2 linked regions of the Macaca mulatta genome follow. The protein of the gene in region 1 purifies or fractionates together with the protein of each later gene. This does not show direct contact. Links are inferred from orthologs where the notes say so. Each region holds a gene or a part of one and is shown on either strand. Other genes may lie near its edges.

Region 1 (5,960 bases):
CAACCAACCAACCAACAAAAAGGCTCTCTTGTCCATTTTAGCTCATTAGTTCCAAGAATTAAGGAATCATGATTTTTAAAACATAATTTATACATTATTGCCAAAATGCAAGCAAAGGAAGCGCTTAATGGACCTCGAATTATTTAAAATACTAATAAAGCCAACTTTCAATAGAACCTCAGACATACTCTCTTCCTTAAAAGATCATTTGTCCCAATTTGAAGAAAGTTTAAAGCTACCAAGTGCTAAAGAGCGATCTTATGGGCATATTAGTATCTAATCAACACCCTCCCATAACCTGGTGTAATCAGAAATAAAAGAAAAATGAACATGGGGGAGCTTTGGAGGGAACTGTGGGCAGCTGCCTGGAACATACTTATGTAGGGACAAATCTGGCAACTTGACTGTCCTCTGGGCTCTCTAGAACTGGCCTCCTGAGTTAGGGACAGCCTCCTGCACTGATGGTTGCCTTACAGGCCAGCTCTGTGCTGTTTTTGTAATTCGTGCAATTCCACCTCAGATCTCATTCACATCAGCTCACACTGCAGGATAACTTGACGTGGAAGTACAATGGGTGGGAGATGGTGGCTCTCTTTAATGCATTCCCCTAGAGTGACAAGAGCCATCCAACAAAGCATCCTCAGTTCTGCCTGCTTCAGCATCACAGGAAATCTGATGTTTCCAGCCAGCTGGTTGAGCTGCCTTAACTAGAGCTCACCAAGCAGACTATAAAGTCCCTAAATGCAGGACCTGTATTTTACTCATCTGTGAATAGCACGGTAATTACTTACAAGCCTGCTTTGAATTCAGTCAGATTCTGGCTTGAATATTGATCCCACCACTTAATAACTGGGTAACCTTGGCCACTTAACTTCCCTAACCCTGCTTTATAGTTTATAAGATAGGAATGATAATTCCCCATTCCTTTGACTTGTGGAAATTAAATGGGACACGTATACAAAGCTGCTAGTGCAGCTCAAAAGTCTTAGTTGAGTGCTTGGAAGAACAGTGGATTCTATCCAAACAAGGGTATGTGATCTCAGAAGAGACCGTGTGTATCTCTTTATCAAGACGTACAGGCTGGGCGTAGTGGCTCACGCCTGTAATCCCAGCACTTTGGGAGGCTGAGGTAGGAGGATCACTTGAGCCCAGGAGTTTGAGACCAGCCTGGGTAACATAGTGAGACACTCCCATTTCTACCAAAAAAAAAAAAAAAAAGAAGAAAAGAAAAGAAAAAAAAAAGCTAGGCGTGGTGAAGATCGCTTGTGCCCAGGAGTTCGGGGACTGCAGTGAGCCGAGCCGTGATCATATATTACACTCCAGCCTGAGTGACAGAGCAAGACCCTGTCCAAAAAAAAAAAAAAAAAAAAAGCTATTAATACAAACATGTATACGTTTGTGATTGTGTCACAGTGGCAGTTTAAAGGAGAAATCCTTTGCCAGAGGTTGCAAAAGCTATAAAAGTTAGAGTGGAACAGTGCTTCAAGGGAAGAGATTGGTTTTCATTTTATCTGCATTGTTTGAATATATAAGTACATGATAACTTCAATAGGGATACCAAAACAAATAAATAAATTTTAAAAAGAACATGAAAGGCCAGGCGCAGCAGCTCACACCTATAATCCCAACACTTTGGGAGGCCGAAGCAGGTGGATCGCTTGAGACCAGCCTGGCCAACAGAGCAAGACCCGCCCCCCTCACCCCCCTATAGAGATAGACAAAAAAAGAAAAAAACTTTTTAAAAAGTACATGTAATTTAAAATGAATACAACTTTTTAGAAATGTTGGGCTGGCAGGGTTGCCGGCTTATTTGGTGAGTCTTTCACCTCGTTTGGAGATAGCGAGAGCAACGAAGAGAAAACATTAATTACCAGGTATTGGTATTAATACGGCGGCTCCATTCCCACATGGACCTGGGGGGACAAAAACTCCTAATCTTGGACAGCTGCGCCCAGCCCTTCTTCACCTGCGGTCCAGGTATCATCCTAGTCTTCCCTCCGTCTCTGGGGTGGGTCGTTTCCAACCCTCCGCCCTGGTCCAGGCCACTGAGGGAAGGGAACAAAACTAAGGCCGGGAGGGCCGGGCCCCAGCCTGGAGTGTGTGGCTCCGGGCCTCCCCCGGGTGCGGCAGTTACGGCGGTTCCGGAGCCGCGGCGCCCAGGGCCGAGGGGCGGGCCCGAAGCCGCGGCCTCGCCTCCGCCGCGCCGGCCGCTCCCGCCGCTCCGCGGCCTCCCGGAGACACGCCGCCATGCTGCAGAAGCGGGAGAAGGTGCTGCTGCTGAGGACCTTCCAGGGCCGCACGCTGCGGATCGTGCGCGAGCACTACCTGCGGCCCTGCGTGCCCTGCCACAGCCCGCTCTGCCCGCAGCCAGCCACCTGCAGCCACGGTCAGGGCCGGGGCGGGGACGGGGCCGGCGGGAGCGGGCGGGACTGGGCGGCTGCGGTGACGGGGTGAGCGCGGCCCAGAGGCGGAGCGCCAGCGGCGGGGACACCGAGGCGTAGGCCCCGCGGCCTGCGCCCGCCCGCCGGCCTCACACCCAGCCCTCTGCCGGTCGGGACCCAGCGGCCCAAGTCCGCGGCTTCCGGGGTGCCCCGCCCGGGACTCCCCGACTGCTCCGCTCTGTCCAGTGGGAGAGCCCGAGAGACCCGCACCCCATCCCGGAGACCGGGTGGCTTGGCTCCTCAGAGGGGCCCAAGGGCGCGGAAGCCGAGCGTTCCTCCCGCCGCAACCTCGCGCGGCGGAGAAATGGGGAGGTCCCGAGCCGGGAGCCCCCGGGAGCTGCGGGCCAGCTGCTGCCGCTGCGAAGCTGACATCATCTGCTTTGCAGCCACAGGTTTCCTGACCTACCCGCACTGGTGCCCCAGACTTTCCCGCCCGTGGAGAGCCTCTTCACCGTAGTTTTGTGAACTATCTGGGCCCGCACTGGAGAGGAAAGTCACGGGGAGGTTGGACTGGGGACTCCTGGGCCCCTGTCCTTGGTTTCTAGGCTGCAAGGGTGGCCGATAGAACGATGCGCGCGTTACTGGCTCTCTTCCCCCATGGGAGGATGAGCATGGGATGGGGGTCCTTGTCAGCGAATGTTTGGAATCCTCCAGACATTGTGATTAAGATGAACATTTCAGTTAGAGCTTGGCTAACCGGCTCTCAGATACGGGCCTGGTGGAAACCCCACCTCTGCCCGTTGCTTGCACGGATCATTTTCTCCATTCAATCTTTCTGGCTCTTGGAGGCTGCTGAGCACGTGCAGAAGCTTGACACAGAGCCAACTTGAAATTGCTGGGCATCATACACAAGTGGTATAAATGTGGGGGTGCTTCATTTGAATGTGTTTGTCAATGATGAGGTAACACTGAAATATTCAGGTTATGCTGAAAATGTGCTTGTTCGTTGTTAAATCAGTCATCCTCTCCGGCACCTCTGGCAACACCATAAACCACGTTGAGCTTGTATTTATTACAGCTTCAAAAAAAATTAGGGTGCTCAATATACCTGAACTTTGGGTCTTTTAAAAACTCCCACCGTGGAGTTAAGACTGGAAGTTATTTTGTATGCCAGAGCACCGTGACATTTAAATAAACCAGGTTTGAAAACATTGTCTAATCTCTTACATTTTGAATTATGTTCCAGATGGGAAACTCTTGTCTAGTGATGTGACTCATTACGTGATCCCAGACTGGAAAGTTGTTCAAGATTATCTTGAGATCCTTGAGTTTCCTGAATTGAAAGGAATTATTTTCATGCAAACAGCTTGTCAAGCAGTGCAGCATCAAAGAGGCCGGAGGTATACGTTTTGCATTCTTTATTTCTATATGGCATAGGTTCCCCCCCACCTTAGAAAAGCTCCCTTGTTGGAGGAGGATGGGAGGAATTCATTATTTTGTCAGAAAGGACTTTTTAAACTAATTTTGTATTCTCTTTGATAGTGAGGAATGCAGTAACATTATTTTATATTTCTGCTGCAACACCTGGCCAAGAGATCTGACTGTAGATCAATAAACTGCAGTGTCCCCAGTATGTGGGTATTTAAGATTCTAGTGTGAATTGGCTTTTGGCTTGCATTTTTATAGTGGTAGGGTTACTGCTTATTTCTTGTTGATAATGTGTATTATTTAATCTTATTTATAGATACATTGTTTCAGAAGCATACATTCTTTTCTTGGGGAAAAGAGTACTTTATTTTTAAATTTTAGACTCCTTTATTGGAGATGCAAATTGTAATGATTTATTCAGTAAAACCAGAAATAGCTTGTTTTATTTTTAGATTACTAGTGTAACTACCAGCCATAGTCATTGTATTTGCTAAACAAAGCATTTCCAATTGAACCAGTCTAAAATTCTTGCCTTGTACTTAAATGAAGAATAGTTGTCTACTTTTTAAACAAATACCTTAAAAAACGATTTCGCTTCCTTTAATGTTGAGAAAGGTTTATGACTTGAACTTAAGACTGTATGGAAATAGCATATTAGAATTATATGTCCAACCTCTTAACACTCTAAGTTATTTAATAAGCACAAACTATGCATTTATTCTTTTTTAAAATGTTGTGGTTTCTTCAGGCCTTGGTAATAAAAGATGAAGTGTTTTTATTTGTATATGAAAATGACAAATTGTCCTCTTATTATACACTCAGTTCAAAAAATGTACATTAACCAGATTGTGTGCAGGTTTTTTTCAGACAGAATATTTTTAAATGAGCTTCAAGTTGATTTTGTTCAGACACCAAGATATAGATGTTTATACAGATCCAAATTTAAATGCTGCTCCAGGTGTCATATTTCAATTTCTGCTACTAAAATCAATTTGTTGTTATCATTCGGATTGCTAACACACTGCGAGCCTTTTCAACTTCTGTTTTCTAAAATATTTTTAATGTTAAGGATTGTTTTAGAAACCAATTTCTGGGACATTCAAAGACAAAGAGTTGGAATTTAAACGTCTTTTCTCCTGAACATTTCAAGAGTAGTTAACTTGATGAAAAACTATTGGTTTTCCACTGCCTTACCATGTCTTTGAATATACTAAATGTGAAAACAAAAGATGAGGATTTATGAAATAGGGCTATATGATAATACCCTGATTTTGTTTGTTGGGTAAGCACTTTTTAAGCTCTTAGTTCCAGGCCTTGGGGAATAAAAAAGTTGTTTTTTGTTTTGTTTTGTTTTGTTTTCTTGAGATGGAGTCTAGTTCTGTCGCCTGAGTTGGAGCACAGTGGCATGATTTTGGCTCACTGCAACCTCCACCTCCTGGGTTCAGTGATTCTTCTGCCTCAGCCTCCTGAGTAGCTGGGATTACAGGCACCCGCCACCACGCCCGACTAATTTTTGCATTTTTTGGAGAGATGGGGTTTCACCATGTTGGTCAGACTTGTCTGGAACTCCTGACCTCGTGATCTGTCCACCTCGGCCTCCCAAAGTGCTGGGATTACAGGCATGAGCCACTGCGCCCGTCCCAAAAGAAGCCTTAGTTCCTCTCATAACAAGCCTATTATCTTGCTGGGGTTAGATGGAAGAAGCAAGACAGTTATTATGAAGCACCTTAGACACACGAAGGATAATTTAATGTGGACGATGCTAAGTGCAGGAGTAAACGTGGGGTAGAGGGATTAGGCCGGAAAATCCTCTGGGGGAAATGGATTTGAGACTGATCTTTAAGGGCATATTACGAGTATGATTGAAGAAGAGGAAGAAATCGGCAAGTTTGGGCCTTGGCACTTTGTTTACCTGTTAAGCAACCAGCAGGTGCGTTCAGGTTGACATAGCTAAATGACCCAAATTGTCCGAGTGCTAGAAAGTGTCTTTTATTGAAGGCTAACATTAAAATTAATAATAGGCATTGAATACATAAGATCCGGGAGACTTTATCATTATTAATAAAGTTTATTAATTCAGCCTTCCTAAGTGTTAAGTGTAAGTTATTTGACTTTTTTAAATTGACAGATTAAAATTATATATATTTGGCC
Region 2 (5,707 bases), on another chromosome or scaffold:
AAATTGGGACTTCCTTCACCAAATACTCTGGTGAATGTAATAAAACTTGGGGGGAGGTTGTGTAAGGTGATGGTTAGGAGTGTGGGCAGGAGAGCTAGACTGCCTGGTCTCAAGTCCTGGTTCTGCCATTTACCAATGATGTAACCTGTGACCCTGGTTAAGGCATTTAACCTCTCTGTGCCTCATTTCCCAATCTGTAAAATAGGGATAAAAATACTTGCATCATAAGGATGTTGCAAGGACCGAATAATTTTTTTTTTTTTTTTGAGACGGGGTTTTGCTCTTGTTGCCCAGGCTGGAGTGCAATGGCGTGATCTCGGCTCACTAAAACCTCTGCCTCCTGCGTTCAGGCGATTCTCCTGCCTCAGGCTCCCGAGTAGCTGGGATTACAGGCATGCACCACCATGCCTGGCTAATTTTGTATTTTTAGTAGAGATAAGGTTTCTCCATGTTGGTCAAGCTGGTCTCAAACTTCCAATCTCAGGTGATCCACCCACCTCGGCCTCCCAAAATGCTGGGATTACAGGTGTGAGCCACCGCACCTAGCCTGGTTAATCTTTATAAAGTGCTTAGAACAATGCTTGGCTTACAATAAGTACTATGTAAATTAGTGTTGAAAATTAGAGTATAAGGTTTTAGAATACACAAACCTACAGAATAGTATGCCCCAATTCATTTATTCATTCAATAAACGAATCTAATAGTGATGGAAAAACAAGATGGTTTAATACTGTGTCATCCTTGACTTCTTGATTTTTTTGGGTTATCATATGTTCTTTGAATTACTTCAATACACTAAAAAATAACTCTGAATTTATGGATTTTAAAGATGTCCAATGCACTGTTACAGCAAAGGTGATAAAAATGTTGTGGCAGCATTTAAGCAGATGATTAGTGAAGATTGTCATTGTTTTAGCAGACAATTTAAAAAGGAACATTCTACTGTTTACATCTCTCTTACCTACTTAGCCTCATATATAAGACATCATTCATAACATTATTTAGCAAATACTGCAGACCCTTGTCCAGTATGGAATTCCTGTCAATTGTGAGGGGTGGGCAGTTCAAATACATGTTCTATATGAAAATCTTTATATAAAGATGACTCCATGGTATCTGAACTCAGGCTTTTCTTCCTGTGTCTTTCTGATCTGTCCATTTGCTGTCACCTCTTAAATCCTTAGTCTCCTCAGATATCCTAGCTTCTAAAATCCCACTTCCAGCGTCTCTCCTTTCTGAGCAATCTCTAGCACATCTAGAAAATGTCATTTATAACATTAGCGATCTCATGTTATCTTATCACACACAGCTCCTCACACAGAACCCAGCTGTCCAACCACACACAAACACACTTATGTGCCACAACAGGTGGGGCACCTGTGCCTTCATTAGGGAGGAAATCCTTCCGGCTTCACCTCTTTCAGTTCCCTGGAAGGCAAAGTCCAATCCTGCAAACTGTCTTCCTTTTAGGTGCCCCTGCAGAGAATTATGTACAGACATACGAAACATCTAATGTCCAGTCTATGAAGAACGGATCATCAATTTTGGAGCTCAGCAGTTTAATGCTTAAGAATGTTAGCAAGTACTTCCTCTCTATAACCTTATCAGACGACCTCCCAATCCCACTGTGCTCACTGATGCCACCATCATAGCTCTAATCACCATGATCTGTGGTTATGTTGGCCCCGGAGCCTTCATCTGCCCAGGGAACTTCTCCCGGCATAGTGTGTTTTACTTGTCTTGTGTTCTAGAGGTAGCACAAAGCCTGTCTATAGTAGGCTCCCAATGGTTAACTGAAACTGTATTTGAAGCCATTATCTGATAATACCAACTTTTTTTTTTTTTTTTTTTTTGGTTCATCAAGCTGATTAGGGTTACTTTCACTTTTGAGAACAGGGAGGGTCCTCAAAAATGGAACATCAGGAAAGTCATCAGACTTGCTTTAACCTGCCTTCCTTGCTTCAACTAATTTGGGTTAACTTTTTCCCATTTATCCACACGGCGCCTTTAAAACTTGCACCATACTTGTCCGCCCCGCCTTAATGAGTTCCTTTGGTGACCCCAGCTTCACCTTGCAGATATCCTCTCCAGGTATCCAATACCCATACTCCCACTCGGCCATAGCAAGGGGTTGGGGTTGGCTTTTTTTCCGGCAACTGCTCACAGCTTCCATCAAGCCGGGGTTTCCAGTTCCCGCTAGGAAGCGTCGGGGACGTCCGGGCACTGCGCACCTCGGCAGCGCCGGTTACCAAGCGCCTCCTCCCCCCTGTCTGTGGGACAACGCTCTGGTAAGCACCCGAGGCAAGAGGTCCCAGCAAGGTACTGGGACAGCGTTTGGTCATAGAGAGTGAGCGAGCCAGCGAGAGATATTCCTGGGTGGAGGGGTGGGGACGCCTTAGGACTAGTGTCCCCCACTCCCGGACCCTTCCCACCGAGAGCTACCTACAGAGGGCTGCATCGCCTCTCCTCTCCTCTTCAGTCATCCTAGGGACTAGAGAAATGGAGGAGAGAAGAGCGGGGAAACAGCACCCCCGGGCCAATCACGACGTCCGCCCCTCCTTAGTCGGGGTCTCTCTCTCTCTCTCTCTCTCTCACACACACACACACACACGAGCTCCTAAGTCAACTCCAGCTCTGAGTAACTACGCCGCACGCCTCTCCCACTGGGAGTCCCCCGGCCCGTGTGGCTCGCCTCACCCCAGCTTCTTCACCCCAACTCCGGTTTCCCTTCCCAACTGACCGTGAAGCCGGAGGCAGTTCCCAGTCCCAGACCCCGGTGGGGCTCCCGCCGCGGCCGCCGCTGCCTTCCCCTGCAGTCCCCAACCCGGGACCCGGCCTCGGGCTACGGCGATGGCTCCTTGGAACGAGGCGCCGCGGCTCTCTGGACTCGGCCAGACACCGGGCGGCGCGCAGGAGAAGCCCATCGAGCTCCCGGCAGTGGCGGCGGCCGCGGCTGCAGGAGCGGCCGCCGCACAGGTTGATGACGCGCTGACGCGGTGGGTGGGACGTGGGGGTGCGGTCCAGAGGAGGCGACGCGCGCAGATGACGTGCGGCTTGCGGGGCTGTTCGGCAGCATGGCGTCCGTGGCGCTGAGCGAGGCGGAGAAGGTGTACATCGTGCACGGCGTCCAGGTAGCGACAGCAGCGGCGTTGGGTCGGCCGCCGGGTTCAGCCTGGCCCTGCGGGTCGCGGCCTGCCCTGGGTTTGCCAGGGAGGAGGCAGCCGAGCTGCGGCGACTGTCCGTTTACCTTGTGATTAAACGGCTCTGCTGCCGGCGTTTGCAGTTCAGAGCTGGCAACGCGGACGTTTTTAGGACTGTTAGCGCATTTGCAGTTTTGCGGGTCTATAACATTCCGAACCCGGGCAGGAAGCGTTGGGCAGTCCCGGAGGCCTTTTCTTAGTGAGAGAGCATCGCCCCCGGGGCCATCCATTCGGCATTCGCGCACATAACTGGTCCGAGCCTCAGTTTTATCTTCGAGGAAATGGGAGTTTGGAGTTGGGCTTCTGGCCTGCTTTTCCTCACCTCGTGGTTAGGAGGGGCATGCTAGGTGAACGCACTTTGTAAATACAAATTGCGGTACAAATAAAGGGGGAAGAGTTTTTAAAAAGCGGCTAGGACGCCTGTAATCCCAGCATTTTGGGAGGCCGAGGCGGGCGGATCACGAGGTCAAGAGACCGTCCTGGCCAACATGGTGATACCCCGTCTCTGCTAAAAATACAAAAAAAAAAAAAAAAAAAAAAAAAAAAATTAGCTGGGCGTGGTGGCGCGCTCCTGTAGTCCCAGCTACTTCGGAGGCTGAGGCAGGAGAATCGCTTGAACCCGGGAGGCGGAGGTTGCAGTGAGATCGCGCCACTGCACTCCAGCCACTGGGCGACAGAGTGAGACTCCGTCTCAAAAAATAATAATAAATAAATTTTAAAAAGCGGCTAGGCAGCCGATAGCGTAAGTGCTGTTTCCATTTTGCCAATGGAGAACTAAGATCCCTAGGCAGCTGTAACCTAATGTCCTCTGTGTTCTATGTTAAACCCCTGGTTTTGACCACTCGAGAACGAGGGTTGAAACATGTGGGACCTGGAAACGAGCTACCCCGTATCCCCCTCTGGCTCTGTCTCCACTTGTTAACCCACGGTGTGGTCCTCCTATCAGAGTTCTTCATCCCATCCTTGGCAGAGTTCTGGCGACAGCCCCTACCTCTTTTCCTCATGCCTTTCTTCTGTCAGTACCAACTGCAAAATCAGTGGTCCCGTGATATAGCCATCAGATTGAAGCAACCAGCTATCATTAAAGTTCCACAACGTGAGTTAAGGACATTTCCATTTATAAAAATCGTGACCTACTGTTATCTTCCGGGCCCTTTATATATGAAGAAATGCCAGTATTTAGCTTATTAAGCCTGGATAATAAAGTCAGAACTCACAGTTGCATATTTTAGTTATAATTCAGGATTAGCAATAGTGGGACATATGTGTGTATTACTTGGTAACATGTGTTATTTGTGTGTGAGGGGTCATAAAAATGCCCAAAAGCAATTAGATCTGTCTTTCCCTGCTATGTTTTTGTATACACTTTGTTCAGGTGATTTTTATCCTCAAAGTATGATTTTTAGGCACACATTAAGGATAACCATTTTCCTCTAAATTTAAAAACCTTTGGTTTTCTTTCTTTGTTACCGCAGCTTAGCGTGATGTACTGACTCTGTCATGTGTCGTATTTTCTCTCACATTTCATCTCTGAAAGTGGCACTGAGGCATGGACATATCTGTAACTTCAAGGTTAGAGATTTCTCCCCAGCATCCTTAATTCCCATGGCAGTTCATTAGCTATCTAGCAGCAGAGTCCCACCATAGTCATAAATCCTTTATTACTTTATAATGAGTAATAAAATCATTTATATTTATAACACACCTGTTATCTGCTGGGTGCTATGGGGGAAGAAAAGACTATAAGCCTCAGTTCTGATCCTTGAGATGCCTAGGATCTAATTTGGGCAAAGTTAATTAATTTTATTTACCAACATATATCTAGCCACTGGCATGTTATGTGGGAAGCAGTAGGGATGCTAAAACATGGTTGTGAAATAAATGAAAGATAGGAGGGAGACAAACAGAGAGTAAAAGTGAATAAAATAAAGACAAAGGTAATAAGATCTATGCCAAGGAAGTGGTATAGTTAGTGGAGGTTGAAGAAGTTAAAGTATACCAGGGGCCCGGCATGGTGGCTCACGCCTCTAATCCCAGCACTTTGGAAGGCTGAGATGGGAGGATCGCTTGAGCCTAGGAGTTTGAGACCAGCTTGGGCAACACAGTGAGAGCCCATCTCTAAAGAAATATGTATATTTTTTTAATAAATAAAAAGAATTCCAGGGACTTGTAATGCTCTGGAGGCTTCCCTAAGTAGGTGGAATTGTTCCCCTAAATCCATGTCAGGGATTCCTCCTCTGTATCTTCAGGACTCAGTGTTCATTCATTCAACACAGAACTGAGCTAGACTCGGGCTAGGAAGAAACCTGTTGTTATATAGCTCTCATGCTAGAAGGAAGATGCAGAAATTGTAAATGTACTTGAGTGTTTATATATAAAATTGTACTAGTGCTATGAAGGAAAAAACAGGGACACGATCTAGACTGGGAGGTCAGAGGAGTCTTCCCTAAGGAAATAGCACGTGAACTGAGCTCTCAGCATGACTGAGAATTAAGCAGGCGTGAGTG

Evidence for each region. The genes of interacting proteins can lie anywhere in the genome.
Region 2: the proteins of DIS3L (region 1) and EXOSC7 purify together in Homo sapiens (affinity purification with mass spectrometry; 3 studies listed by BioGRID and IntAct, counting the BioPlex papers as one, with this or other methods). This does not show direct contact. The link is inferred for Macaca mulatta from reciprocal best matches to the Homo sapiens genes DIS3L and EXOSC7.

What each region holds. Positions count from the first base shown.
Region 1 is NC_133412.1:43,767,099-43,773,058, forward strand, and holds the start of DIS3L (DIS3-like exonuclease 1), read left to right. Parts: upstream 1-2,194; 5' UTR 2,195-2,247; coding exon 2,248-2,386; intron 2,387-2,469; exon of another isoform or gene 2,470-2,745; coding exon of another isoform or gene 2,746-2,833; intron 2,834-3,627; coding exon 3,628-3,781; intron 3,782-5,960. UniProt on the Homo sapiens protein: Catalytic component of the RNA exosome complex which has 3'->5' exoribonuclease activity and participates in a multitude of cellular RNA processing and degradation events.
Region 2 is NC_133407.1:108,316,916-108,322,622, forward strand, and holds the start of EXOSC7 (exosome complex component RRP42), read left to right. Parts: upstream 1-1,838; 5' UTR 1,839-2,042; coding exon 2,043-2,288; intron 2,289-2,740; exon of another isoform or gene 2,741-2,982; intron 2,983-3,040; exon of another isoform or gene 3,041-3,074; coding exon of another isoform or gene 3,075-3,131; intron 3,132-5,707. UniProt on the Homo sapiens protein: Non-catalytic component of the RNA exosome complex which has 3'->5' exoribonuclease activity and participates in a multitude of cellular RNA processing and degradation events.